Macaca mulatta: one gene and its partner. The protein of the gene in region 2 purifies or fractionates together with the protein of the main gene of each other region. This does not show direct contact. Links are inferred from orthologs where the notes say so. Each region holds a gene or a part of one and is shown on either strand. Other genes may lie near its edges.

What was found.
Region 1: the proteins of RRM1 (region 2) and RRM2B purify together in Homo sapiens (affinity purification with western blotting; 3 studies listed by BioGRID and IntAct, counting the BioPlex papers as one, with this or other methods). This does not show direct contact. The link is inferred for Macaca mulatta from reciprocal best matches to the Homo sapiens genes RRM1 and RRM2B.

What each region holds. Positions count from the first base shown.
Region 1 is NC_133413.1:112,563,404-112,578,859, forward strand, and holds part of RRM2B (ribonucleoside-diphosphate reductase subunit M2 B), read right to left. Parts: intron 14,832-15,456; coding exon 14,676-14,831; intron 8,363-14,675; coding exon 8,246-8,362; intron 7,300-8,245; coding exon 7,166-7,299; intron 6,428-7,165; coding exon 6,333-6,427; intron 833-6,332; coding exon 699-832; intron 1-698.
Region 2 is NC_133419.1:71,713,096-71,728,651, reverse strand, and holds the start of RRM1 (ribonucleoside-diphosphate reductase large subunit), read left to right. Parts: upstream 1-2,853; 5' UTR 2,854-3,142; coding exon 3,143-3,161; exon of another isoform or gene 3,162-3,820; intron 3,821-9,898; exon of another isoform or gene 9,899-9,933; coding exon 9,934-10,022; exon of another isoform or gene 10,023-10,062; intron 10,063-13,971; exon of another isoform or gene 13,972-13,995; coding exon 13,996-14,173; intron 14,174-15,556. UniProt on the Homo sapiens protein: Provides the precursors necessary for DNA synthesis. Catalyzes the biosynthesis of deoxyribonucleotides from the corresponding ribonucleotides.

The DNA of each region.
Region 1 (15,456 bases), on a different chromosome or scaffold from region 2:
GCGTTTGGCACTTAGCAAAGAATATCTGGGACAAAGGGTAAGTTTTGGGAGTTATGAGCATTTAGATGGTAGCTGATTTCATGACAGTAAATAAGATCAGCCAAGAGGGCATATACAGTAAAGGAGCAAGGCCAGCGCGGGAACCTAGGAGGACACTGATATTAAGAATGACCAGGAGGCTGAGGAGAAATGGTAAGAGACACAGGAGGAAAATGCAGTGTCTTAAAAGCAAGATGACGTGACTTCCTATTTTAATTACCAGGATACCTATGTCACCATAGCATTTTTCAGGAGAAAGAAAAATAAATGGGCTGGGTACAGTGATTCATGCCTGTAATCCAGCACTTTGGGAGGCTGAGGCAGACAGATCGCTTGAGCCCAGGAGTTCAAGACCAGCCTGGGCAACATGGTGAAGCCCTGTCTCTAAAAAAAAAATACCAAAATTAGGTCAGGTGTAGTGGCACCTGCAACAAGGGAAGGCACCTGCAACAGTCCCAGCAACGAGGGAGGCTGAAATGGGAGGACTGCTTGAGTCCAGGGAAGGCGAGGCTACACTGAGCCATGATCGTGCCACTGTACTCTAGCCTGGGTGACAGAATGAGATCCTATCTCAAAAAAAAAAAAAAAGATAGAAAAGAAAAATAGATGAACATCAAATATGAATACAAATATAGCTAGAAAAACATTCCGCTCCTTACTTCATCTCTGCTGATGAGTTCATTGGAAAAAGTGAGTCCTGGCATAAGACCTCTCTTCTTTAGCCAGAATATAGCAGCAAAAGATCCTGAGAAGAAAATTCCTTCTACAGCAGCAAAGGCCACCACTCTTTCCCCTGGGAGACATAAAATCATTTCAGTTTTTGAAATATCAGATACCGCAAACATTTGCATATATATATGCAAATATGTATATTTGATAAATAAATTTAATAAATATTTATTGATGTATATGGTGTATATATATCAATAAATACCATGACTGTTTGCAAAGAAACAAAATACACAAGTTAGTGCCATGGCCAAAGATCTCCATAGGAGAAAATGTGCCACCTCTACCTACTGGAGCAGAAAGGTATGCCTCCTTCAAATCCTCTGTCAGACAATGGACTTCTATAGGTCTTGGTGTCTGGACAAAGAAGGACCTTCCATACTCAAAACAACAGGTGATTTATGTGTGCCCCACACATGACTGTGAGTGCAGGTACATGCATATGTGTGCAGTATGTATACATATGTGTGTGTGTACTAGACTGGTGAGTAGAAGGTAGACTTTATGACAAGTGTCTTCCTCTGAAAGTAGGAGAGGTTGCTTAAGTTTATATTTTCAGAAACTTATGGTATCTTACAGACCATCTGCAAACATTTCAAAAACCATTGGCATGGATCTGCAATTTAAAAAAAATAGATAAGCCCAACTGAGGATAATAAGTATATCTATTAGATAAAATATCACCATAAAATAAGCAAAAGTACGTTTTCTGCTAAATACGAAAGGGCCAATTTTAAAGGTTACTCATTGTTAGGCAAGGACTTCATAGAAATCCATCTCCTATTAAGAAACTGTCTACAGTGGCAGCATATCTGTGACATTATACAGGATGATCAGAGCTCTAACCCAAAAGGTCATTCACAAGGTGCTTATGTCACCACACTGCATATGCTTGAGAAAAGTATTTATATATGTCTAAGGAGAAAGGTTTGGTCTATTAGACTGTGAGATACAGGCAGCTGAGTGCTTGAGTGCATTACAAACCTTTTTCATAGATGACATCACGGTTTATACCTCAGTACATGTCACAGGACCACACACAAAGAAGTCACTTAATAAACAAGTCCTAGGCCGGGCGCGGTGGCTCAAGCCTGTAATCCCAGCACTTTGGGAGGCCGAGACGGGAGGATCACGAGGTCAGGAGATCGAGACCATCTTGGCTAACACAGTGAAACCCCGTCTCTACTAAAAAATACAAAAAACTAGCCGGGCGAGGTGGCGGGCGCCTGTAGTCCCAGCTACTCCGGAGGCTGAGGCAGGAGAATGGCGTAAACCCGGGAGGCGGAGCTTGCAGTGAGCTGAGATCCGGCCACTGCACTCCAGCCTGGGTGACAGAGCGAGACTCCGTCTCAAAAAAATAAAAAAATAAAATAATAAAATAAATAAATAAATAAACAAGTCCTGAACTGACTCATTGGAACCTATAGAAGTACTAGATGAGAGAAGACATTAAAATCCACTCTAGGCTAAGTGCTGCAGTGGCTCACATCTGAAATATCAGCACTTTGGTAGATCGAGGAAGGAGGATCACTTGAATGCAGGAGTTAGAGACCAGCCTGGGCAACATAGCAAAACCCCATCTCTACAAAAAATTTAAAAATTAGCTGGGTGTGGTGGTGCACACCTGTAGTCACAGCTACCTGGGAGGTTGATGTGGGAGGAATGCTTGAGCCCAGGAGGTCAAGGCTGCAGTGCGCTATGATCACACCACTGCACTCCAGCTGGGCAACAGAGTGAGCCCATTTCAAAAATCATCATCAGCATAATCACTATTCTTAAGATAGAGACTTGTCATTAGTTTAACATATAACTTACTGTATCTTTTATCTTACTATTAGGATAACTTATAGTTATTGATACATTTTTCATTGACATTAAGGTAACATCAAAAGGATAATTATCTGTAAGGAAAGTAGACTATAATTAAATACAAACGTGAATAAAAGAAAAATTGATATTTTTATTTTTATTAGAGAGTGGGGTCTTGCTCTTGTCACCCAGGCTGTTGTGCAATGGCGCATTAATGGTTCAAACAGTCTCAAACTCCTGGGCTCAAACAATGCTCTCACCTCAGCCTCTGACGTAGCTGGGACTACATGCGTGCGTCACCATACCTGGCTAATTTTTTTATTTCTTTAGAGCTAAGGTCTCTCTATGTCGCCCTGGCTGGTTTGAACTTCTGGCTCAAGCCATCCTCTTATCCCAGCCTCACAAGTAGCTGGGATTATAGGCACAAGCCACCGTGCCTAGTGGAAAATTGGTATTGTAACCATGCTATACATTCATGTGAATACTAAAGAATGAAAATCATAACATAGTTATAGAAGGCTATTCTTTTTTGGAGAAGATTAAAGGATTACAGGTGGCACATTTTACAATTTTTTGAGATATATGTGAAATAAAAAGAGGGTTCCAGAACATTTCTCCTAAAAACTATAGTGAATGTAAAGGCCTCATGATTCATTTTAGAGAGGGGAAGGTTGGATATATTTTTAAGATACAGCTGACCTCTATGATGGCAATGTACTAAGATTGTGTAGCTAATATTTTTTGAGGCTTGAAATAAAATTTCATTACATATATTAAGTTTTAATCTATATATTTTAAAGTTCTTTAAAAATATTTTAAAAATTAAACAAGATGTCTCAATTTTTAAAAATCTATACAGATATATAATAAGGAAAATTTTTGCTCTATAGGAATTGAATCTTGTTATAACATAAACTTTCAGACAAACTAATAATTTTTTAAGAAATATTCTTAGTTTCTCTTTAGCTAAAAATAAAGGCTTATAAGAGTCTGGATATAAGGAAAGAATAGTTGCTATGCTGGATCTTAGTGCAAAAGGCACTAAGAAGGTCACCAAAAATGTTAGGCAAAACCCTAAGCCAGATGAATGAGCTGTCCTTGTCAACTTATAGCTACTAACGGTGCAGGTAGCCCAATCAGTTCATAAAATAGCACTTCCTCAGCTGGTTAAAGGAAAGTAACAGTGTGCAGCAAAGCAAGGCGATATTTCCATGTTACTGTCTTTTAGCTCCACTCCCAAAAACGAGAGTCACCAATGCACTCTTCACCCTTTCCCCTTTCCCTGTTCCACTCTACATTCATTCAACTCCCCCTCCACAATTTTAGAACATGTTCTTTCCTCTGAGACCCTAAATTAGAACCCGAAATGGGGTTTCCCTTGAGATTAAGCAATATGAAGAATCTAGCTGGAGTCCTCATGTAGTTACATAGTGACTGCCAGCCTTCTCTGTTTTCTCTATTTCTAGGTTGTCCTTCTTGGGTAGTTCATGAAATACATGCTTTCTGTGGGCCTGCTCATCATTTTTCATCACTACTTGTCCATACTAGTATTTTCAGTGTATATGGAACACTCTGCCTTTTCCCTTCTTTTTTCTCTAAAGCCAGCATTTCCCATAGTGTTTCTGAAGCTCCTTGGGAGGGAATCAACTGAATACAAAAATGCAGATTTCTCAGTCCCATCTGGGCCTCCTACATCACTTTTGGCAGGATTCTTAAGAGTTTTTCCACAAATTCTCCAGATGATTTTTACATATATTGAGAACCAGTGCTTTTCTCATTCCTATTTAATTTTTTTTTTTTTCTAGAGTCTGGGTCTTGCTCTGTCACCCAGGCTGGAGCACAGTGGATCATAGCTCACTGTAGCCTCAAACACCTGGGCTTAAGTGGTCCTCCTCCCTCAGCCTCCCAAGTAGCAGGGTCTACAGATGCATGCCACCATACCTGGCTAGTTTTAAAATTTGTTGTAGAGATGGGGGTCTTGCTTTGTTGCCCAGACTGGTCTTAAACTGCTGGCCTCAAGTGATCAACCTCAGTCTCCCAAAGCACTGGGATTACAGGCGTGAGTCACCATGCCCGGCTGCCTTTCTCATTTTCGAAATGAACTGAAGGCAAGGAGGCAAACATATCTGCTTCATCCCTGGTATACTACATGCTGGCCCATATATGCACTACATCACTGGTTCTTCAGTGTGGTCCAGGAGTCCCTGAGAGATCTACAGACCCAGGAGACCTGTGAGGTCAAAACTATTTTCATAATAACATTAAGGCATTATTTATTTTTTTTAACTACCAGTCTCTCATACTTTACAATGGTATTTTCTAGAAGCTACATGACATATTCATAATAATCTGAAAAGCTAAATAAAATATTTCTCCCTTTTCTAACTATAATATGTATTTAAATGAGGCATATACTACATACATATACACTGCAACAAATCGAATGCAAAGGCAGATATGGTACTCCAACTGTTTTCTATTAAGTCGGACATTTAAAAGATTTATAGAAATTTAAAAGCATGCTATCCTTTTTTTTTTTTGGGAAAATACAGAAACTTATATAAAAATGTTATCCGTATTAAAATGTAATGGGTTGATTATTGCTATCTTAGAATGCACTAATACATATTTTTAAATTATCTCAATGTTAATTTCTAATGCAGAAATATCAATACCTATAACCTACCCAAGTAAAGGCACTTTGGAGCTCTTAATAATTTTTAAGAGTACAAAGAGGCCTGAGACCAAAAATTTTGAGACTTGCTTCCTCACATAATGAATAAAACCAAAAAGTAAAGAACACCAATTAAAAACAGATAAGAATGAGATGTGTACTTAGAGCTATCCAAATGAAAGATAGAAATATTTTAATTAAATGTAGTAAATATTTATTGAGCAACTATTATGTGTAAGACATAATATGATACACTTCCTTAAAAAAATGCTATGGGATCTCAAGTCAGCCAGAAGGGTGTTTGCATTTAGCTTACCTATGAAAAATAAGCCTGTTATTACAAATTGTTTTTTTGTCCTGGTTGATTACACTAATCTTTAGTTTTTGAGAAACTAGATATTTGTTTCCTCAAAAATGTTAAGTTTTCACTTGCTTTAAATTCCTAAAATAGGCCAGGCGTGGTGGCTCATGCCTGCAATCCTAGCACTTTGGGAGGCCGAGGTGGGCGGATCATCTGAGATCAAGACTAACCTGGCCAACATGGTGAAACCCCTATCTCTACTAAAAAATACAAAAATAAGCTGGGCATGGTAGCAGGTGCCTGTAATCCCAGCTACTTAGGAGGCTGAGGCAGGGAGAACTGCTTGAACTTGGGAGGCAGCAGTTGCAGTGAGCCAAGATCACAGATCACGCCACCGCACTCCAGCCTGGGTGACAGAGTGACACTCTGTCTAAAAAAAAAATAAAAATTCCTAAAATAAACTTAAAAGCCAGGTACAAACTGTGAATTGCTATAATACTCTTGTTATTGCTATATGACTGACTCCTATTTAACTGTCATTATGCACTAACATCTTAACTTTTCAACTTCCAACTTATTAAGTAGAATAGATAACAGCTTTATTTTACCAACACTTTCTAATTAATTATTAGGAATAATGATTTTGGTAAAGGTGCATTTGAGATATTTGTACTCCTTTTCCATGCTGTAACTTTGATTAGTACTGGCTAGTCACACCACATAAAATATTGTCATATCACCTGAGGCAAATCTGATCATATATAAATTAGAGCCACATACCAAAAGTAGATTTTCTATCTGCTATCCATCGCAAGGCCCAATCTGCTTTTTTCTTAACATATGGCATGGTTTCAATTGCATTAAATAAAAATTCCCTGTAAAAACAAAAGAATGAACAGCAAAGTTATTCACTTGTTTTTCTTTTTTTTTTGAGACAGAGTCTTGTACTCTTGCCCAGGCTGGAGTGCAGTGGCGCCATCTTGGCTCACTGCAAGCTCCGCCTCCCGGGTTCACGCCATTCTCCTGCCTCAGCCTCCCTAGGGACTACAGGTGCCCGCTACCATACCCAGCTAATTTTTTTGTATTTTTAGTAGAGACAGGGTTTCACTGTGTTAGCCAGTATGGTCTCGATCTCCTGACCTGGTGATCCACCTGCCTTGGCCTCCCAAGGCGCTGGGATTACAGCCCTGAGCCACCATGCCTGGCCTCACTTGTTTTTCTTAATTGGACTAAACTTAATCAGAGATAATAACTGTAACTCTATGGTATGATACCAGATCGGCAGTTTTTATACATTTTTACATGCCCATAAAATAGAAATAAAACTCAAATTATTAGTTTGAATCTGATTCATACAAAACCAGCTAAATCTGAGTATTCAGTTTCTAAACAGAAGATGCTACTGAACAGTTCTTAAAGATAAAATATCTAAAGGTTAACTGGTTCTATAACAAGTTTTTTTTTAAACTCAATACATTATTAAGCAATAGAAAATATTATGCTCAGAAACTTCCATACTTGAATCTTTCCTTAACATTGAATTTTGGAATAAATTCTGATCTGAATATAACCAAGCCATAAGCAATATTTTGTAAATAAAATCCCAACAATACCTTTTCTTGGGATCTCTGATGTAAGTGTCTATCAGCAAACTGTACATCTCTGAATGAACATTCTCGATGAGAATTTGAAAGCCATAGAAACAGCGAGCCTCTGGAACCTGCACCTCCTGACTAAAGCGCTCCACCTAAGAAGAAAGGGAAACAGACATATCCAGTTCTATAGGCTCTCATTAAACACTGCAAATCAGAATCCGGACATCAGCATTATCACTTAAAAACTGCCTGTCACATAACAAACAGGTCAGAAAGACCTTATGGATTATTTTAAGCAGTATCCTAGGCAGTACTGTTTATCCATCAATTATCCGTGGTAAATTAGTTGCACAGTATATATATACACATATATATACATATATACACACATACATATCTATATACACACACACACATTTTTTTTTTTTTTTTGAGATGGAGTCTCACTCTGTCGCCAGGCTGGAGTGCAGTGGTGCCATCTTGGCTCACTGCAACCTCTGCCACCCGGGTTCAAGAAATTGTCCCGCCTCAGCCTCCCAAATAGCTGGGACTACAGGAACGTGCCAACACACCCAGCTAATTTTTGTATTTTTAGTAGAAATGGGTTTTCACCATGTTGGTCAGGATGGTCTCAATCTCTTGACCTCGTTATCCGCCCACTTCGGCCTCCCAAAGTGCTGGGATTACAGGCATAAGCCACCGCACCTGGCCTATCTTTCTATTCTTTTTAAAAAGAAATTATGCCTTCTGATCAACCATAGTTAAGTTTCAAAATGGGGAGCCAGAACCCAGTATTCTATTACAGAGCTCCAAAGGTTATTAAAGTGCAGGTTCTCTATTAAGCTTACCATCTGAGGGTAAAAATCAAACTCATGTTACTGCACTGTAAATAGTTTTGATTGGTATAATTTATGCTTGATTTAATAACATTTGCTGGTCAAAGGATAAGCAATTCATCAGAAAAACATTTAAAGAGTTAAGCTTCATCTAGTTCATTTTTTAGACATCTTTCCTCTGGCTCAATTTAATAATCTTAATGACATTATCATCATTTAACTGCTAAAGGAGAACAAAAGTTAAATCAAGCAAAAATCTTACCAAATTTTCATTTACAATTCCATCACTGGCTGCAAAAAAGGCTAAGATGTGAGAGATGAAGTACTTCTCATCTGCTTTAAGCTTGTTCCAGTGAGGGAGATCCTTTGATAAGTCGACCTGGAATAAAAAGATTTTCAAAAATTTTAATTTGGAGTTAAGTTCTTCTCAACGTGTTTGGGAAACTGTTGGGAAACTAACTTCCATTGTAAAGTTAAGTAGGAATATCCCACTACCAGTAAACTATGGAAAAAGAAAGATGTTAGCATTGCAAAGAAATAGAACAAAAATGTTATGCTAATAAGTGTATTATATTGAGAATTTTTGTTAAATGATAGATTACAGCTACTCTTGGTGGGGGAGGGGGAACAGCTAAACTACATGAGGCAAAGGAAATGTTAATTTATTACACCATGGTAACCATTTTACTATATATATGTATCTTATAACATCATGTCGTACACCTTAAACATACACAATAAAATTTATCTTTAAAAAATTACAACAGAATCAAATTTTCTGGCTAAGAAGCTGGCCAGGATGTACTTTAAAAATATCCAAATTAACATAATCTAGTGGCACCAGAGCAAATGAAAGAAGGGCTAAAAGGGGAGTAGGGAGAATAAAAACTAGTCAAGAAGGCACTGAAGTGAATAAGCTAATGATTCTCAACAGTCATTGCTTTAACATTTTATACAATATTTGCTATGGTGTTAGCTAATTAAGCACCTATTAACCAACTGTAGCTGCTACTTTACTGCCAGGTAATCAGTCTACTTTTATATCCAGAAGTAATGCCAGGCAGGTAACAACCTGAGTTTTGTTTTGGGACGGAGTCTCGCTCTGTTGCCAGGCTGGAGTGCAGTGGCATGATCTTGGTTCATTGCAACCTCCGCCTCCTGGGTTCCAGCAATCCTTCTGCCTCAGCCTCCTGAGTAGCTGGGACTACAGGCAGGTGCCACTATGCCCAGCTAATTATTTATATTTTTTAGTAGAGATGGAGTTTCACCATGTTGGCCAGGATGGTCTCGATCTCTTGACCTCATGATCTATTCGCCTCGGCCTCCCAAAGTGCTGGGATTACAGGCGTGAGTCACCACACCTGGCTTTGTCTTGTTTTTTTAAAGAGACGGGGTCTCACTATGTTGCCCAGGCTGGTCTCAATCTGCTGGCCTCAAGCAATCCTCCTACCTCAGCCTCTCAAAGTGTTGGGATTACAGGTGTGAGCTACCACAGGTGACCAATAATCTGGTTTTTTGTTTGTTTTTGTTTTTGCGTTTTAGACGGAGTCTCGCTCTGTCGCCCAGGCTGGAGTGCAGTGGCCGGATCTCAGCTCACTGCAAGTTCCGCCTCCCGGGTTCGCGCCATTCTCCTGCCTCAGCCTCCCAAGCAGTTTATACGTAGGCATGGTTTCCATTGGGAATGGAAATATTTTTGAAAATGTTCATTAGAATTAGTCTTTGGAATTAAGGGAGATATACTTTAGAATTTGGTGAAACCTACAATTTAAAAATTGTCTATTTTTTAAATTTTTGAGACGGGGTTTTACTCTGTCACCCAGTCTGGAATGCGGTGGCACAATCTCAGCTCACTGCAACCTCTGCCTCCTGGGCTCGAGCAATCCTCCCATCTCAGCCTCCAGAGGCACAGGTGGGACCACAGGCGCACAAAACCATGCCTGGCTAATTTTTTGTATTTTTGGTAGTGACAGGGTTTTGCCATGTTGCCCAGGCTGGTCTTGAACTCCTGAGCTCAAGTGATCTGCCCGCCTCGGCCTCCCAAAGTGCTGGGAGTACAGGCCTAAGCCTCTGCACCCAGCCAAAAATTGTCTTTCAATGTACCCTGTCTTAGTCAGTTCTGGGGGCTATAACAAATTACCATTGACTGGGTTGCTTAAACAGCATACTTTTATTCTTCTTTTTTAACATTTCTGGAAGCTAAATGCCCAAGATCAGGATGCCAGCCTAGTTGGATTCTTGGTGAAGGCCCTCTTCCTAATTTACAGATGGCCACCTTCTTGCTGTATCCTGACATAGCAGAGAGAGATCATATCTCTCATGTCTCTTCTTATAAGGGCACTAATCCTATTCATGAGGGCTCCACCCACATGATCTAATTACCTCCCAAGATTCCACCTCCAAACAGCATCACACAGCATATGTAGACATCATTTTGACAGGGACAGGAGGCAGGGAAATTCTGGGCAGAAGAAGGTGGTCCCCGGCGAGGGCTCCACCCTCAATCCTGGAACTGCAGCCCAAAGTGACAACATGCATTCCTGTTCTCCCACTCGAATGTTACCTTTTCCAAAACCATCCGTGGCCCTGCTACCCCACCCTATGCCCATAAAAACCCCAGGCTCTACCAGCAGAGAAGAGGAGAGGAGAAGAGGAGAAGAGGAGAAGCAGCTGGATGCCAGAGACTATGGTTGAACATCAGAGAGAAGCAGCTTAACTTCAGAGGGACAGCTTGACAGCATCCTTTGGAGAGGAGTCCACTCTATCCTCTTTCCAGCTTCCCTTCCCACTGAGAGCCACTTTCATCAGCAATAAAATCCTCTGTATTCACCACCCTTCAATTTGTTCATGTAATCTGATTTTTCCTGGATGCTGAACAAGAGCTCGGGTGCCACAGGTGTGGATGCTAAAGGCTGTCACACTGACCCTCTGCCCTCACTGGTGGAGACCAACTGTTTCATGTGAAAAGGCAGAGGGCCCACTGAACTGTTAAAACAAGCCATCCACGGACAGCAAAAACTAAAAGAGAGTTGACTATAACACATTCCTTCTGGGTCTTCAAGGGTTGTGGGTACTCCCCACAGATACTGCCACGAGGCCTGCATGGAGTTTTGCTCCTGCTGGTGCCCAAAAGAACTTGCCCAAGCTCCTGCACCTGCTCACCTGCATGCTCCCTCCCTCAAGGGGTTGAGCACAGTGGGTTCAAGTGAGTGGAGTTTGCCCCTGCCAGCGCAAAAGCGGCCAGCTAGCTCCAGCATGTGCATTCCAGTTCCCACCTGCGAAGGGATCAGAGAAACTATCCTGCTTCAATTTTGTCAGAAAAAATCTTTTAAATATTTCTCAGGATTAACTTCATAAACAGTTGAAATATGTAACTGTCCTTGTCTTTTGCCTTTCTTCTATTTACTCTAACAAAGCCTCACCTTGGCACAGTAGCTCATGCCTGTAATCCTAGCACTTTGGGAGGCCGAGGCATTCAAGACCAGTCTGGCCAACATGGTGAAACCCCGTCTCTACTAAAAATAAAAATAATTAGCTGGGCATGGAGGCAGGTGCTTGTAATCCCAGCTACTTGGGAGGCTGAGGCAGAAGAATCACTTGAACCTGGGAGGCAGAGGTTGCAGTGAGCTGAGATTACGCCACTGCACTCCAGCCCAGGGGACGTTGGGAGGCTGAGGCAGGAGAATCGCTTGAACCCAGGAGGCGGAAGTTGTAGTGAGCCAAGATTGTGCCACTTGGCAACAGAGAGAAACTCTGTCTCGAAACAACAACAATAACAAAACAAAAAACACAAAGCCTCAATCTCTTTGACCTTTCCAAAAAGGACTTAATGTCCCAACTTTTTAATAACATGCTATTTTCCAAACCCTTTTTCCCATTGATTTATTCTTTAAGTGTTTGCTGAGTACTTATGCTATTTTCCAAACCCTTTTTTCCATTAATTTATTCTTTAAGTGTTTGCTGAGCACTTACTGCACACCTGACACTGTGCTAAGCACTGGGGATACAACGGAGCAGGGTGGAGGAAACATTTGTCTTCATCTTTTAATATGCAACCTAAAAATCAAGTTCTATTCTATTAAAAGCTCAACTTAGGTTTAACTGAAGGACATCTTCTTCATTCTAATATATTATAACCCCTCACTTTTTTTTTTTTTTGAGACAGTCTCACTTTGTTGCCCAGGCTGGAATACAGTGGCATGATCTTGGCTCACTGCAGCCTCTGCTACCCAGGCTCACGCGATTCTCCTGCCTCAACCTCTGAGTAGCTGGGATTATAGGCACCTGCTGCCACGCCTGGCTAATTTTTGTATTTTTAGTAGAGACAGGGTTTTACCATGTTGTCCGGGCTGGTCTCGAACTCCTGACCTCAAGTGATCTGTCCACCTTAGCCTCCCAAAGTGCTGGGATTACAGGTGTGAGCCACATAAAATATATGTTTGATATTAAATGTTAATATTGTAAGATGCTTCCTTTTAAATATTAAAATTATCTCTTTGAACACTCACTTTCAAAGGTCTTGTAAACTTTATTTACACTACATTAGTCATATTTCCTTCCTGCCTAGCTTTTTCTTATTTGAGCAACTTCTCAATTTCATCATTTAAATACTGATTCCAAACTATATAATTATCGTAATTGCCTGAGTGGCTTTAAAGAAAAAAGTCCCAAACCCCAGATTTTTGTCTTTTGATCAGGGTTTCTGTTGATCAGCCATATTTAAGAATTAAGCTCAACCATTTAAGCTTATCAAATGGTAATTTACATAATTTGTAAATGAAAAATATGTGGAACTAAAAATGTGTTTGACTTATCTTCAAAATACGTATTTGAATCTTCCTATAATTACCTAAAAAACATGTATCAACCTGTAGATTTCAGTTTTTAAAAATTAGTGCTTCTTTGTTACAGGTCACATATTATCTTTGCTAAAAGATGCAAGTTAATTTCCAAATGAATTTCAAGAATCCTAAGAATCCTAAGTACCTTTTTAACATGATGAACCAAAAAGCCACCTGTGTATTCCACTTGTTCTCTGAACTGTATCTTACAAAAAAACTTTCTAAAAACCACAGACAGTTAGGGACAGTCAGGTGTGTCGAGCATTATGACCCAGTATGAAAATATTGGGTGTTTGTTTTTGTGTGGTTTGGTTTTTTGCTGTATATGTCAACTATAATATAACAAAGATGTTGACAATATATAACACTACAATGTAACAAAGATGGCATATGGGTAAAATTAGTGTAATAGAACTTCAAACATTGGTGCCTTCTGATTTCTCAGTTAAATTTTCCCCCTTCTGTGCATAAAATAATAGTTTACATTTATTTAGTGCTTACTAAGTGTCAACTACCATTTTAAACATCTCATTAATCCTCATAACAACTCAAATAGCCAAGTACAACTAGCCCAATTTACTGATGAGGATACACAGAGAAGTCATGCAACTTTCCCAGTCCCATATCTAGTAAGTAGTGGCACAGGATTTGTACCTAGGCAGTCTGACCCCATAGCCTGCATTCTTAACAGCATGTATTTAACATTTATAGAATTAACTTCTTGAAAAAATAGATAGATTCAAATCTATCTATCCAAATAGATACATCTATCTAAAAAGATACATATACAAACATATACAGAACAAGAGTGCTGTACAGGTAACACCCATCAAAGATCAAGACAATAACTATTTGTTCAGTTAGACTACAGGGCAATCATCTTCATGACCACTGTCCTTACCAACCAGCAAATATTTTCTAGTTTGCTGTGTTCAACTGATCTCCTAGGTGGAATTAACAGAAAGCATTCTACAGCTGGTCTTTCAGTGGCAACTCTGTCACGTCTGATGTAGCTGAGGGCACGGCCAAACTGGGAGCAGCACTGTGAATTCCACCTGGCTGACTCAGGAGTGAGTCCATGAAGAGTTTGAAGATCAAACTCTTCATGCAGCACCTCCCTTTGTACAATCAGATAAGTCTCTCAGTTGGAAGCAGAGTTGCTCCAGCTTTCACTCATTTTTTGACTAAAGCTGCAATTTTACTTATTCTGCCGACCTTATAAGACTAGTGAGACTAGTCTTACTTGGCCATATCAAACTCAAAGTCTGTTTAAAATTTGAAAATGTTGGCCGGGCGCGGTGGCTCACGCCTGTAATCCCAGCACTTTGGGAGGCTGAAGTGGATGGATCACAAGGTCAGGAGTTTGAGACCAGCCTGGCCAACATGGTGAAACCCCGTCTCTACTATATATACAAAACTTAGCCGGGCGTGGCAGCGGGTGCCTGTAATCCCAGCTCTTGGGAGGCTGAGGCAGGAGAATCGCTTGAACCCGGGAGGTGGAGTTTGCAGTGAGCCGAGATCGTGCCACTGCACTCTAGCCTGGGTGACAGAGTGAGACTCTGTCTCAAAAAGAAAAAAAAAAAGAAAAGAAAAAGAAAAAAGAAAATGTTCTAATACATTGGAAATAAAAATCTGGGAGAATTAGATGCCATTGTTGCAGCAGAAAACTAGTTTATAGATAGTAATCTAAACTAAAACATTGAGAACATCGTATTTAGTCTCAGTAATTCCAAAACTTATCTTCTGCAACTGATCTTCTTCAACGTATAAGTTAAAGTTTTTCAATATCCTGTAAAACAAGAAGGGAACACTGCACTATAGGACATGAATGCTCATGAAGGCAATGCCACGTACCTCTTCTGCTGTCCAGAAGGAAGCCTGTGCCTGTTTATACATTTTCCAAATATCAGGGTACTGGATTGGAAAGATGACAAACCGGCGAGAACTCTTTCTTAGGAGGGGCTCTTCATTTGACTTTATTTCATTGTCGTTGGTATCTGAAGATGATCTCTTTGAAAAATAAAGTACAAACATGCTTTTTATATAGACATTTCTCCTTTATTCATACCTAAACATACATCTAGGGAAGTCAGGGAGACGGCAATGGTTTGAGAGCCTGTCTGCCTGGGTTGAATCCTTACTGTTACCTGGTAGCTGACTAATACTGTTAGGAAGTGCGTGTGTCACCATAGGAAGCTGCTTAACTTCTCTAACCCTCAGTCTCCTCAGCTGTAAAGTAATTCCTGCCTCATAGGTTTATTCTGATGATTAAAAGTGCTTTAAACAAAGCCTGGTATACAATAAGCACTCAAAAATTATTGTAATTATTGCTAGTTTGAGGATAAGTAGAAAGCTAGATCCATAAATGTCATGATGGACAAATTTCTAAGTTTGTGAACAAAATGTCCCTTTAGAGTCTCTCTGATATAGAATGCTGGAATGAATAAGCTACTGGTATAAGCTACTTTATTTTAATGTTTTTTCTTTCTGCTCTTCACTGAAATACTATAATATTTATCTGAAAACTCATTACCTACAACTTAACCTTTGTTCATCTTAACCTTCTGATACTCCAATTTGTTACTTCTATTTACATTTTAACATTACTGCATATGATCTCACTGTGGGCTGTCTC
Region 2 (15,556 bases):
CAAGATAACTGGCCCCAAGAGTGGGGCATGGGAAGGGCTGGTCCAGGGGTCTGGGCACTGTATATACCTGCACTGTACATCCTTGGGTCCTTCATTATTATTTATTAACTGACCACCATGGCCTGCCTGCCCTGCCTCCCTCCCAACCATGGGCTGCTGCTGTCACTCCCTCTCCACTTCAGTGCATGTCTTAGTTGCTGTTCTCTCAGCTCCCAGCTCTACCTCTGGGGTTCAGCTTCTGTCTCTGCTGTCCCAGTTTTGAGGTTTGGTTTCTTGTTTCTGTCTCTTGCTTTCAGGCTCCTCCCTCCCACCACTCCCCAGCTTCCCCTAGCAGTTACAGGGAAGATAGGAGGAGTAACTTCTGACATGTTTGCCTCAGATCCGTTCCACCCCACTCACAGTGGTTCTGTTTGCTCCAGACTGGGGCCAGGGCCTAATCTTTGGGATTTGTTCTTTGGTATTGTTGTGGGTCAGAAGGAACCTCATCCTAGATCTCACTCAGGCTTCCAGGAGTCCATGGGGGAGTGAAACCAATTCTCAGAGAACAACCCACCAGAGACTTTTAAAGAGAGCTTGGGGATGGGTTGGAAGAGGCCTCTCTTCATTGGAGCATGAGTGGATGCCAGAACTGTAGGTTATAAGGCAGTCACTTTTTCTCTCTTCTCCCACCCACACCTGCCTCCCTCTTCCCCCTGCTCCCCCACACTGCAGGAGGGTTTGTCTCTAAGAGGTGCTGCCCCAAAGCTCCCCAAGCATCAATACTCCTGGGGCTCAGGACAAGTGGCTCCCCTGGCCCGGGGAGCCACAGCCATGATACAAGGCTCTTATGGAGCCCTGGAGTTGTTGGGCAAGGATGCTGTCATATTTTTGAACCAAAAGACAAACAAGTTAAAAGGAAAAAAATCTCCTGAATTTCCCAAGTGCCTACGCTGCATATTCCCCTTGTTAGATCCCATTTTCATGTTACTTTGTAGCCTTGGCCAGAGGCTCAAAAAGGACACAACCAGTTTGGGGGAGGGGTGGCTAAGGAAGATGGTATAGGTGAAGGTGGCTGTGTGACCACTTCCCCCCACCCTTCCCACCCTCTATACAACTCTCTCCCTTACCTGTTTTTGCTATGGCTGTAAAGGTGTTTTCCCTCTGCCCCACTCCCTGCCATGCCTTTATCCTGGGATCCTATTTTGGGCCTAGGGTGGGTGCACCTGGGGCTGGTCTTAGGAGGGTGCTAGGTTGCAGACTGCCTTGTACCCCCTGGACACCCTCAAATGGGGTTTTCTGTGTTATTTCATAAGACTCTTTGAAGTCCAATAAAGCATGTAGGAGATTTTAACCCCTGCTGGCTTTGACTCTCATTGTGTTCTCTGTGCTGTGGCATGACGGGATGAAGAGACTATCTTTCCTTTGCCCAGGGAAAATGAAACTTGAATGCACATACCCAGAAGCTCTGTGGGCAGGGTTACCAGATACATGCAGGGCGACCAGTTAAATCTGAACTTCAGATAAACAGTTTTTAAAGTATAATTTTCTCTCATGGAGTGTCTGGGACACAGTTTTATTTGCTAAATTGGGAAACCCTATGTCTGGGTAAACTTGACCCTATCTATCCTATAACTTCACTTATGACTTTTAAAAAACATCTATTTAATTTTTCTTTTTCGTTTTTTTTTTGAGACGGAGTCTTGCTCTTTTGCCCAGGCTAGAGTGCAATGGTGTGATCTTGGCTCACTGCAACCTCTGCCTCCTGGGTTCAAGCGATTCTCCTGCCTCAGCCTCCTGAGTAGCTGGGATTACAGGTGCGTGCCACCATGCCTGGCTACTTTTTGTATTTTTAGTAGAGACAGGGTTTCACCATGTTGGTTAGGCTGGTCTCGAACTCCTGACCTCGTGATCTGCCTACCTCAGCCTCTCAAAGTGCTGGGATTACAGAAGTAAGGCACCGCGCTGTCCTAATTTTTCTATTTTTTGTAGAGATGGGGGTCTCGCTATGTTGCCCAGGCTTATCTCAACCCCTGGTCTCACATGATACTCCCGCCTTAGCCTCCCAAGATGCTGCGATTACAGGCTCACTTATGACTTTCCATGATTTTTAAAATTACTTCACAGGAAGCTTGGGCAGCTTCTGGAGGGTAGTGAGAAACCAACGAAAAGGCTTTAGGGAAAAGATGCCACAGATGAAATTTCATAAAGATCGCTTTGGGTAGCCCAAATCAGAAGCTTCTACACCAGCCTTGCATATTAGGGTTCTCATCTATTCTTATTCTCCACTTTAAGTCACCAAGTCCATCCTACCTCCACAAGGCAAATACCCTTTCTCTGCTACCATCCACTGAAGAACCCCAGAAGCAAATGTGTACTGACCCTGCCCTGCTTAAAATTCTCTCAGGGATCTGATTTGCGTCAGGATAAAATCCAAACGCCATTGGCCTTGCGCGGTTTTCTTCCAGTTCCTGAGTGCCACTCTTCTGGCCGATCTGAAAGCCCTGGGGCTCCAAGCTGCCCACGGCTGTGGAGCCTAGGCTTGAGCCCACAGCGGACGGCAGTGTTAGGATTATTACAATAAATGTCAAAGCAAGAAAAACGTTCCGGCCAGTTAGGTTTTGTTATTTCAAAAGCAACAAAATAAGTGAACCGCCTTTCCTCCGGCGGAGACACGCAAGCGACAAGGGCGGCGCCTGACCTGGCAGGCTCTAGGTGTTACGCCAGGGCCCCAAGGCGTCCAAATTCGGCTTGCCCACACAAAACATGGCGGCAGGAGAGCAGCGTTTCCGCCGGGCATGTCCACATCCAACGGGGCCCATGGGAGAGGCGTAGTCTTCTGTGTCTTGCCCAGACTCAACATGGCGGCTACAAGGCGCCTGAACTAGTCTGCGAAGCCTACCCCAGGCGTGGGCCGCAGCGTCGACTAACGTCATTCGAACCCCGTCGCACCCCTTTGTGCGTCACGGGTGGCGGGCGCGGGAAGGGGATTTGGATTGTTGCGCCTCTGCTCTGGAGAAAGTGCTGTCTGGCTCCAACTCCAGTTCCTGTCCTTGACCAGCGCCTGCAACCTAACCCTTCCTACTCTGTCACCTTCTTGATCCCGCCGGCGCTTTAGAGCCGCAGTCCAGTCTCCGATCCTTCAGAGCCTCATCCACTAGCTGCGATGCATGTGATCAAGCGAGGTGAGGGGGCAACGACGTGGGCGAGAAGGGAGGTGAGGGGACGCGGGCTGCCGCCGCCGGAGCTGATGCCCAACCCGCCCGCCCGCCCGCCTCCGCTGCTTCCCGCCCGCCTCCGCTGCTTCCCGCCTTTCCCGCCTTTCCCGCCGCGGCCTTCCGCCCTGTCAGCTCGCTCGGCCTTCTGTCTTCAGTCAGCCTGCCCCGAACCTCCTTCGGGCCTTCAGGCTGCGCCCCCTCGGCTTTGTCATCCTGCCGCCTTTCAAAAGGATAACGCCCTGTATCGAGTAGTGACTGCCGAGCACTTTCCAGGCACTATTTTATTCCTCTCTACAAGCCTCCGAGAGAGAGATTATTAGCTCCACTTTACAGATGAGGAAACTGAAGCTCAGAGCGAGGTTTCGGCGACTGACCTAAAGTCACCCATAGCTGACAACACAGTTTGATTTGGAAAACCGTGGGGTTGGTGAGCTGTCTTAGGCACCGGGTGGGGGGGCAGCTAGGAAAGAAGGAGGGGGACTCTTTACCCTACACAGCCACTTGTCAGTTTACTGATCTCTTTTGTGGGGTGAGGATAGGAGTGTGGGGTGGAAAAAACAGATCCCAGACAGACAGCATCCTGGAGTTCCTTTCCCTTCATGGCAAGAAATACTGAATCAGAGAAGGTTGGTTGAGACATCTTCTGACAAGATGGGGACTGGGAAGAGTCAGGAACTTGTATTCTTTCTCAACAGTTCCTTTTCATTAGACTTGCCGAGTCCCTGCTTTGTGCCCAGTCCTTTGCTTGGCTTTGTGAGATTATAAGAGGAGACAGTCCCTGCCTTGGGAATAGGCTTAATCGGGTTGGAAAAACAAGAGCAACATACTTTTAACAGCCACATGAGATATGTATGAACAAGTTTTGAGTTGAACCTACTTGCCTTTGTTAAAGCAATACAATTATTTCAAAATTGTAGGCACTTGGTAAATACTGGTTGATCGACGGGTTGTTTCTGTTTTGTCCTCTAGGCTGTGAACATATCAAAGATGGAGATTTGTTTGAGACAGAGTTTTGCTCTGTCACCCAGGATGGAGTGCAGTGGTGTAATCATAGCTCACTGTAACCTTGAAGTCCTGGGCTCAAGTGATGCTCTTGCCTCAGCCTCTCAAGTAGCTAGGACTATAGGCATGCACCACCATGGGTGGCTAATTTTTTAAAATTTCTGGTAGTGAAGGAGTCTTGCTGTGTTTCCCAGGCTGGCTTTGAACTGCTGGCCTCAAGCCATCCTCCCTTCCTTGGCTTCCCAAAGTGCTGGGAATACAAGCAAGATGGAGACTTTTCTGCTCACATTTAGCACAGGACCTGACGTGAATAGATTCTTAAAGAATGAAAGAAAATAATTGTATCAAAATGTAGGACATGATGAGTGCTGCGAATAAGCAGGTAGTTGATTTGGTTTAACTACAGCCAATGTCCAGATTGGTTTAACTACAGACAAGAGTTGGAAAGGTGGACAGTAGTGGCCCTTCTTGTTTTTGGTATCTTGAGAACATCATTCTCTGAATTTTCCTAGCTCCCATTTTAGCTGACCAAAGAGCAAAATCTTTTATTGATCCATTCCTAAGAGTGAGAGCTAAGCATCTATTTTTGTATTTTTATTTTTTTACATTATTATTTATTAGTTTTTTTTAGAGACGAAGTCTCGCTATGCTGCCCAGGCTGGTCTTGAACTCCTGGGCTCAAGCAATCCTCCCACTTCAGCCTCCCAAAGTGCTTGGATTACAGTGCTGGGAGCCACCGCACCTGGCTTGAGCATCTATTTTTTAAATCATTAGATATGGGAGAGATGTTTAGGATGGTTTATGATAAGTTAGTAACAAAGATAAATTGAAAATGTATGGACTTAGATGACCAGAATGGATAAAATTCAACTCTGTGTTGAATTTTTAACATTTTGAGTCTACTTCTAAATACTGTTGTTTAAAAAGTGCTACTTTGGCTGGGAGTGGTGGCTCACACCTGTAATCCCAGCACTTCGGGAGGCCAAGGCCGGTGGATCATTTGAGGTGTGGAGTTTGAGACCAGCCTGGCCAACATGGTGGAACCGTCTCTACTAAAAATACAAAAGTTAGCTGGAGGGTAGTGGTTTGCGCCTGTAGTCCCAGCTATTCAGGAGGCTGAGGCAGGAGAATTGCTTGAGCCTGGGAGGCAGCGGTTGCTGAAATTGTGCCATTGCACTCCAGTCTGGGCGACAGAGTGACACCCTGTCTCAAAAAAAAAAAAAAAAAGTGCTAGCTACAACTAACTAAAAAGCAGAGCTTATTTTGTTTCTCATTCCTTCATAGAGCATAATTTGATCCAGATGGTTCATGCTGTAGATTCTGCCGTTGTAGCATTCAGCAACACTTGTTAATGTACAACATGTACTTAGATTTCTTTCTTTATTTTTTTATATTTCTATGTTTCTATATTTTATTTTTATGTTTGTTTAATATGCATAGGGTTTTTGGTTTTCTGGACTTTTTTTGTCCCCTCTTATTTTTGGCATGTCAGTGAAATATCAGACTAACTCCTATAGTTTTTGTTAATTTTTTCTTTTTTTTTTTTTGAGATGGGGTCTTGCTCTGCCACCCAGGCTGGAGTGCAGTGGCATGATCTCAACTCAACTGCAGTCTCTGCCTCCTGGGTTCAAGAGATTCTCCTGCCTCAGCCTCCTCAGTAGCTGGGACTACAGATGTGCACCACCATGCCCAGCTAGGGTTTGTTATTTTTAATATAATTATTCAGAAGGGCAACTGGAAGTTGACTTTCAAGTACCTACTGAATGTGCTAATGTCTTGCTAAACACTGTGAGGGCAGTAATGGAGAAGGCAGCTCTGTCTTTAAAGAACTTAAAATTGTTAGGGATTTAGGAACAATCCATATTAAAATTGTTAGAAGAGAATAGTAGATAAGTTTTTTTCATCTGCTATCTTGAGCTGTTTTTCCTAATGGGAGAATATCATTCCTCAAGGAGATTATGGTTAAAAAAATAAACACTGAGAACCATTGCAGTAAATGACAAAGTAGCTGACTGAGTTGTAAACTGTTTTGGAATTTAGTGTAGTATTTTCAAAACTTTGGATTGTAACTCGCAGTAAAAAACAAAACGTTTTACAGACATACATGTATATATGTGGATACACATAAAATGATACAAAAGTTTACGAAATAATGTCTTCGAAAGCATCCATTTGCACTCTAATCTTTCTTTTATTCCAGATTATTTCCCTATCCCTCCCTTCCTCCCCCCTTCCTTCCTTCCTTCCTTCCTTCCTTCCTTCCTTCCTTCCTTCCTTCCTTCCTTCCTTCCTTCCTTCCTTCCTTCCTTCCTATTCCATTCACAGCCTGCTATATTATTTTACAACTCTGTGTGTGGATACTGTGCTGTGTACTGGGATTCCTGTGATGAGTAGGCAGACATGGTTCCAGCTTCCAAAGATCCTACAATCAATTGAGAAAGATAGACAAATAAAGAAGTAATATGATAAGATATGATAAATACTCTGAGAGGTAAAGTATAGGCAGTAGAGGCCATTCATTCAGTTATTCATAAAGCATTTATTCAGCATCTCTTTGTGCTAGGAGCTGTTGTAGGCATTAGAGATTCTGCAGTGAACAAAGCTAAATTACATTTCTCATTGAGTTTACAACTTGGTGTGGGTGGGAGTGGTAAGTGTATATAAGAAATAAGTAAACATAATAATCAGTTAATTTCAGATACTGATTAATGAGATGATAGTAAAACAGGATCATGTGATAAAGATGAATGAGAAAATAACCTTGGATTAGGTAGCCAGGAAAGGCTTCTCTGAGAAGCCAACATTTGAGCTGAACCCTAAATAGTACTAAGAGGTACTGTAATGTGAGATCTGTGGCCTGAACATTCTCGGCAGAGGAAATTACAAAGTTTGTATCTTGTGGAAAAGGCACGCATCCTTGGTCTTACAGGATTAGGGACATCTTCCTGAAGAGAGAAGAATGAAAGACAGTTTATAGTCAAGAGGAAATCACACTAGTATGCTAGAGGATTTTTTGTTTTATTTTTTATTTTTTGAGATGGAGTCTCGCTCTGTTGCCCAGGCTGGAGTGCAGTGGTGTGATCTCAGCTTACTGCAACCTCTGCTTCCCGGGTTCAGGCAATTCTCCTGCCTCAGTCTCCCGAGTAGCTGGGATTACAGGCACCTGCCAGCATACCCAGCTCATTGTGTGTTTTTTTGTATTTTTAGTAGAGATGGGGTTTCACCATGTTGGCTAGACTGGTCTCTAACTCCTGACCTCAGGTGATCCGCCTGCCTCAGGAGTTAGATGTATGGAAATGTGGAAGAGGAACTTTTAGGCAGAGTACGGTATAAGCAATGATGTGGATATGGGAATGGGAAGCCTTCTTGGGACTTACATTTCACACGGAACAGTAGAAGAGATCTGGGGCCAAACTAAGAAAGACTTTGCTTGAGAGAAGAGGATAATGTAGGCAGTGAGAAGCAGGGATTACTGATGTGATAAAATCGACATCTGGCTTGAAAAACTAACCAAGTGGAATGACAGAATAGAGAACCGCGTGTCATTGGACCTTTAGATCTTTAGTCTGCCTCCTATTCTCACGTGTGAGTTAAGATTAATTACCAATGCACTTTTTTTTTTTTGTCAGTTTCCTGATTGACTTCAGAACTTCTGGCAGTTGCAGAATTTTCTTTTTGCTAAGTTGCTTTTCCCCGCCACTCCATGTATAATTGCAGAACGCTAATGTTGCTTTGTGGTTACCTGCCTGCTTAGTTTTCCAATTGCCAGAGCACTGAGGTTTCAGTCCCAGTGGCAGCCAGTTAATTTACCCTGTTCCAGAGTTAAATGCTGCAAATGTGAGCCTAATCAGAAAATTATCACAATGGTGATCAGAAAGAGAAGGGCTAATATATCAGTGTAGAAGAAAAAGCAACTTGTTCTAGTGATAATGGTTTAATAGTGATGTCTTATTGTTCATTTATTCTTCATCAAATGTTTGAGAACTTGCCTTGTTCTAGGCACTAAATTTGAGAATACAGATGTGAATGAGAGGGCCAAATGTAAATATATTTAACATGTTTCTTATTGGTTACTTCAGGTTGAGTATCCCTTATCCAAAATGCTTGGGCCCAGAAGTGTTTGAGATTTTGGATTTGTTTCAGATTTTGGAATATTCGCATTATACTTACCAGTTGGGCATCCCTAATCAGAAAATCCAAAATCTGAAATGGTCCAAGGAACATTTTCTTTGAACATTGTGTTGGCATTGAAAAAGTTTTGGATTTTGGAGTGTTTTGGATTTTGGAATTTTGGATTAAGGATACTCAGCCTATAGTTACAATGGATTGTGGGTGCACAAAGGAGACAAAAACTAAATCAGTGTGAGACACTAATATTTATTGAGTGCCTATTGTGTATCACATACTGTGATTTTTTTCCCCATAGGAGCAGCTTTATTTTATAATGAGGTATCATAGTTGTAACTATGCCAAAGTTGTTACAACAAAAGCACTTTTTACCTTATCTCATTTTATTGTCACAGTAAACTGGTGAGGCAAGTAGAATAGATATAATAATTAACCCCTTTCTACAAATGAAGATCTGTGAAATGACTGATTATGTTTTGTGGCTTGCCTAGGGTTAAGGCTGTTTGGTGGTTTGATATATTCACTATTCCTGGTAAGAATAAATAAAGGTCGGATGAGCTACTATTTGAGGTTAAACTAAGAGTAGTAAGACTTTTGTCTAGAAGGACAAAGATATAATCTAAGTCCAAAATCATGAAAAATATTAGGTAAAATATATAGTATGTCAGATGGGATAAGCGCTATGGAGAAAAAGCACAGAAGGGGAAGGGAGATAAGAAGAGCAAGGGCCCTATTTGGGGCATTGCAATTTAAAATGGAATCATCAGGGAAAGCCTCATTGAGAAGGTGATGACATTGAGCAAAAGACCTAAAGGAGATCTATAGCAAGAAGGCCAGGTTGTCAAGGTAGAATAGGAAGGAAGGTGGGAGAGTTGGAGGTGAAATTGGGAGGTGGGTGCACAGGACAGGTTGTATAGGATTCTGTGGATTTTTTGTTTTTTGTTTTTTTTTTTTTGAGATGGAGTTTCACTCTTGTTGTCCAGGCTGGAATGCAGTGGCGTGATCTCAGCTCACTGCAACCTCCGCCTCCCGGATTCAAGCAATTCTCATGCCTCAGCCTCCTGAGTAGTTGGGATTACAGGCTCCTGCCACCACGCCCGGCTAATTTTTTGTATTTTTAGTAGAGACGGGGTTTCACCATATTGGTCAGGCTGATCTAGAACTCCTCCTGACCTCAGGTGATCCACCCGCCTTGGCATCCCAAAGTGCTGGGCTTACAGGTGTGAGCCACCACGCCTGGCCTGTGGATTGTTTTTTAACAATTTTGACTTTTATTCTGGAGATAAGAAGCCACTATTAGGAGTTTTGAGGGAGGTAATGATATGATTCTGAGTTTAACTTTTAAAGGGTAATTTTGGCTGCAATGTGGGATGGGGGGAATTTAGGAAGTTATCTGTAAATATCTGTATGTATAGAATTCATACTCTTTGAAGGTGACATCAGAGAAGACAATCTCGTCATGAATCTTTTGAGGGGGCCTGAATCTTATCTGTGAAATAGCATTTCATGTTGGTCAATTTACATGTTAATTACATTTGATTCTTTGACATTGCAGTCTTAATAATTGCTAACAGAATTTAATAATTGCTAACATGATTTGATTCTTTAGATGGCCGCCAAGAGCGAGTCATGTTTGACAAAATTACATCTCGAATCCAGAAGCTTTGTTATGGACTCAATATGGATTTTGTTGATCCTGTAAGTAAATATGGTTTTTATCTTGGGTTCCTTGTTTCATGTGTTTCTTTCCATTTGTCTCTTATTCCTGGACCTTCACTCACCTGACATACTTTGGTATTCTGGCTATGCCCTTTGATATAAAATTTGAATTCATTGCTTAAAACATTTTTTTTTTCTTAATTTTGGTTCTGTCCTGTGAGTTCTCACTTTTCAGAGAACTATGAATGTGAGTAAAGAAGAAAATTTGATATTAACATTTAATATCAGATATTTCCTTGAGTAAATTGTTTTATTCATTAGTGGAAAAGCCTAGGCCAGGCGCGGTGGCTCACACCTGTAATCCCAGCACTTTGAGAGGCTGAGGTGGGTGGATCACCTGAGGTCAGGAGTTCAAGAACAGCCTGGCCAACATGATGAAACCCTGTCTCTACTAAAAATACAAAAATTAGCTGGGCCTGGTGGTGGGCGCCTGTAATCCCAGCTACTTGGGAGGCTGAGGCAGGAGAATCACTTGAACCTGGGAGGCAGAAGTTGCAGTGAGCCGAGATCGTGCCACTGCACTCCAGCCTGGGCGACAGAGCGAAACTCCCTCTCAAAAAAAAAAAAAAAAAAAAAAAAAAAGGGAAGCCTAAAGTTTGTTTTGGAATTGTGGTTATTTAGGTAGGAACTGGTTTAAAATTTGCTTTTTGTTATTTATGTAAAAAGATTTAAGTAATATAAAGTAGATTTCATGGACAATATTTAAGTCAAGAACAAACTATTCATAAACGAGTTGCTCTGCTTTTTTCCTTATCCTTTATAACTTCTATATTCTAGATTCTCATCAGTTATCTGGACTGTTTTCTGTGGTCTCTGCAGTGTCCTGGACTTCCTCTAATCTTGCCCTCTTCAAACTCGTCTTCCACCTGACTTCTAAAATGATCTTCCTTAAATGAGAATCTCTAAGAACTCTTTTCTTCAAATCCACCCATATTTCCATCTCCTTATTTAGGTATCTTATCTGTACTGCTGTAAAACCTGTGCTCATCTCATAGCTTTAATCATATAACATGGAAATTAATTATAGGTCTTTATCCTACCCTAGAATTGAGGATGGGCTGTGTATCTTATTGTTGTGATATCCTCAGTGCTTGACATATATCTAATTAGCCACTTGACCAAAGTAAGTTTGGTCAAGAGAAAATGATTTTATGCATCTTGAAAATATGTTTATTGTAAATTCTCTTTTACATTGAGAACTTAAGACAATAATTAGAATAGTAGAATGTTAGAGTTGGAATGAACTTTGAGAGCCCATCCCATTTCATCTTTGTTTTATAGGTAAGAAAGTTCCAAAGAGAGAAGGAAGTGACTTAAGTTAGTGGGAGTATAGGGAGAAGCACCTAGGTCTCTTCACTCCCACATGTTCTATTGCCTCATGCAGTAGTACGTTTTAGAGCACAGGAGTGTTGCAGCATCCTCAAACTTCCTAAGGTAGATTCTGTTGAAAAACTGTCGGTGCACGTCTGTAATCCCAGCACTTGGGGAGACCAAGGTAGGCAGATTGCTTGGGCTCAGGAGTTTGAGACCAGCCTGGGCAACGTGGTGAAACTGCCCAGGTGCAGTGGCACAATCTTGGCCCACTGCAGCCTCCGCCCCTGGGGTTCAAATGATTCTTGTGCCTCAGCCTCCCTCCGCTGGGATTACAGGCATGTGCCACCACGCCCGGCTATATTTTTGGATTTTTAGTAGAGACAGGATTTTGCCATGTTGGCCAGGCATGAACTCCTGGCCTCAAGTGATCTGCCCGGCTTGGCCTCCCAAAGTGCTGGGATTACAGGTATGAGCCACACCGTGCCTTCCCTCAACCCTGTTTCTACAAAAACAAAACAAAACAAAACAAAAACAAAAAAAACAAAAATTAGCTGGGCATGGTGGCGCATGCCTGTAGTCCCAGCTACTTGGTGGTGGGAGGATCGCTTGAGTCCTGGAGGTTGAGGTTTCTGTGAGCTGAGACTGTGCCACTGTACTCTAGCATAGGCCACAGAATGAGACCCTGTCTCAAAAAGAAAAAAAGAAAAACTGTGTATGCTGTTAGATCTGGCACAGCACAGTTAGCACACAGATGGTATTTTATTCTGAGTTCTAATTGTTTGCCATATTACTCTAGAAACTATTTAGAAGACTTCACTGCTCTTATACTGAACACACCTTATCTACTGGATCTGGGAAGAAAGTGATCGGGAGCAACTTGGGTTTAGCTATATTATAATTAGAATAGATTGCAGACTGTTAAAATAGTTACACATGTATGTGTCTTTTTTTTGAGGGGGGTATGCATTGTTCAGCTGGGAAATACATTTATTTTCTGTTGGATTAAGTGGTTTCTTAAAGATTCAATAAACACACACACTCACAACTTAGAATTTGTTTTTCTTAAAAATGTATGCTAATACCTTGTGCATTACGTGTCTTAAAAATGAACTTACAATGTGGCCTTGAAAACAGTGAAATACAGTGAAGTTTAATGGGGTTGGGGCCAGAAGACTTGTATAATAATATAACCTTGGGCAAGTCCCAATAACCTGAGCCTCAGGTTCTTAATGTAAAATAGGTATAGTAATAATCATCTCACAAAGTGATTATGAAATGTCAGAGATTATCAAAGTTGATAATTTTTGATCAACTTTGGTTGAGAATCATTTGAACCCCAGGGGTGGAGGTTGCACTTTGTAATTTGTGAAGTGCTAAAGAAAGAGTAGTCATTAAATTATCATGACTCAGCCCCAAACCTAATTTATACTTCTTTCTCCTTTAATTGGCATGATTAAAGTTTGATTCATTTGCTTTTCTGTACTTATCCTTATATGGAATTTGGGAAAAGTAAGTATGAAGCTGGAGCCCTGATCACTTAGGGAGGATCTGAATGAAAAATGGGGAAACACTCATATAGAATCATTAGTCTGTTGGGAGAATTTGAATGAAAATAGGGAAATACAGAATCATTAGTATGTTTTCAGCTATTTCCCTGTGAGACTAATTGATTTAAAGGCTATATTTAGGTTTTTTTAAATAACACCTTCATTTTATATGTAGTATACATTTTCTGTAGTTCTGCTGGGTTGTGCATTCTCATTACTAAGTTTCCCACTGCCCACCATTCCGAAAGATAATTTTTCAGATAAGTAAATTGTCTTGTTCTTTGTTTCAGACAGGGTCTCACTGTGTTGCCCAGGCTGGAGTACAGTGCTATGATCATAGATAGCTCAGTGCAGCCTTGACTTCCCCAGTACAAGCATTCCTCCCACCTCAGCTTACCCTGTAGCTGCAACCACAGGCACTTACCACCTTGACTGGCTAATTTTTTAATTTTTAGTAGGGATAGGGTCTCATTATATTGCTCAGGTTTGTCCCAAACTCCTGCGCTCAAGTGAGCCTCCTACCTTGGCCTTCCAAAGTGTTGGGATTACAGGTGTGAGCCACTGTGCCCAACCTGTCGTTTATATTGTGATGTGAATTTGATTGTTTTCTTTTTTTCTTTCCTTTTTTTTTTTTTTTGAGACAGGGTCTCACTCTGTCGCCCAGGCTGGAGTGCAGTGGCATAATCACAGCTCCTTGCAGCCTCAGCTTCCTGAGTAGCTGGGATCACAGGTGTGTACCACCACACCCAGCTAATTTTTTTATTATTTGTGGAGATGGTGGGGGGGGGGGTCTTCCTGGCTTGCCCAGGCTGGTCTCGAACTCCTGGACTTAAGCCGTTCTCCCACACTGGCTTCCCAAAGTGCTGTGATTATGGGTGTGAGCCACAACGCCTGGCTTTTTTTTTTTTTTTTTTTTTAAAATAGGGTCATGAACTGCTAAGGTTAAGTGATCCCCTCACCTCAACTGCTGAGTAGCTAGGACTATAGGTATGTACTACCACACCTGGCCATGATGGTTTTCTTAATTACTCTTTTAAGGAAGCTATTGTTTCTTGGGAAAGCTCAAGTAATTCTTGGTTTTATTTTTGTAGGCTCAGATCACCATGAAAGTAATCCAAGGCTTGTACAGTGGGGTCACCACAGTGGAACTAGATACTTTGGCTGCTGAAACAGCTGCAACCTTGACTACTAAGCACCCTGACTATGCTATCCTGGCAGCCAGGATTGCTGTCTCTAACTTACACAAAGAAACAAAGAAAGTGTTCAGTGGTAAGTCTTGGGTGAAAAAGTAAAAATTCAGTATTCTCAGAAAAGTAATAAGGGTAGTAGAAATCTTGACTGTTTAAAGAAGCAAATATGGCTAGGTGGGGTGGCTTACACCTCAAATCCCAGCAATTTGGGAAGTCAAGGCAGGCAAATTGCTTGAGTCCAGGAGTTTGAGAACAGCTTGGGCAATGTGGTGAAACCCCATCTCTGCGTTTTAAGAAAAATCTAAAATTATAAAACAGACCGGGTGCAGTGGCTCACACCTGTAATCCCAGTGCTTTGGGAAGCCAAGCAGGTTGATTGCTTAGGTCAGGAGTTTGAGACCAGCCTGGCCAACATGGTGAAACCCCATCTCTACTAAAAATACAAAAAATTAGCTGGGCATGGTGGCGGGGGCCTATAATCTCGGCTACTCGGGAGGCTGAGGCAGGAGAATTGCTTGAACCCGGGAGGCGGAGATTGCAGTGAGCCGAGCCTATGTCACTGCACTCCGGCCTGGGCGAGAGAGTGAGACTCTGTCTCATAAATAAATAAATAAATAAATGGCAAATATGTAAATTAGTGGGAAAGAGTGGACTACAGTTTCCTATTTCTCCATGCTTCCTATCTGCTGTATAAAAGAGTTGATGTATCTTTGTTCTTTAAGTTTTTTATTCTCTCTCTTTTTAAATTTTTTTATTTTTTTTGAGATAAAGTTTTGCTCTTATCACCCAGGCTGGAGTGCAATGGTATGATTCGGCTCACTGAAACCTCCGCCTCCCGGGTTCAAGCGATTCTCCTGCCTCAGCCTCCCGAGTAGCTTGGGATTACAGGCAGTTGCCACCACACCCAGCTAATTTTTGTATTTTTAGTAGAGATGGGGTTTCACCATGTTGCCCAGGCTGGTCTCAAACTCCTGACCTGAGGTGATCTGCCCTCCTTGGTCTCCCGACGTGCTGGGTTTACAGGCGTGAGTCACCGCACCTGGCCTCTCTCTCTCTTTTTTAAAGCCCATTGTTAGGCGCTTGGTGGTGATATGGTTGGAAAAATGAATAATATTTATTAACAAGTTTTGGGTTAAACAAAATGTTATACTTGCTCCTTTCTCACTAGATGCGAACTCTTCATTTCATCACTACCATTTTACAGCTCAGGGAATGTGGGAAAGGGAAGGTTAATTTGTTCAATATATAAGAAGCCAGCTGGTAGACTGAGATTAAAAAATCTTTATTGTTTCCTATCGGGAGCCAAAAAGGAAAAAAAAGTTTTTAAAAATTTTATGCCAGGCATGGTGGGCCTAATCCCAGCACTTTGGGAGGCCAAGGCAGGAGGATTACTTGAGCCCAGGAGTTCAAGACTAGCCAGGGTAACATAGTGAGACCCTTTCTCTCCAAAATTAAAAACGTT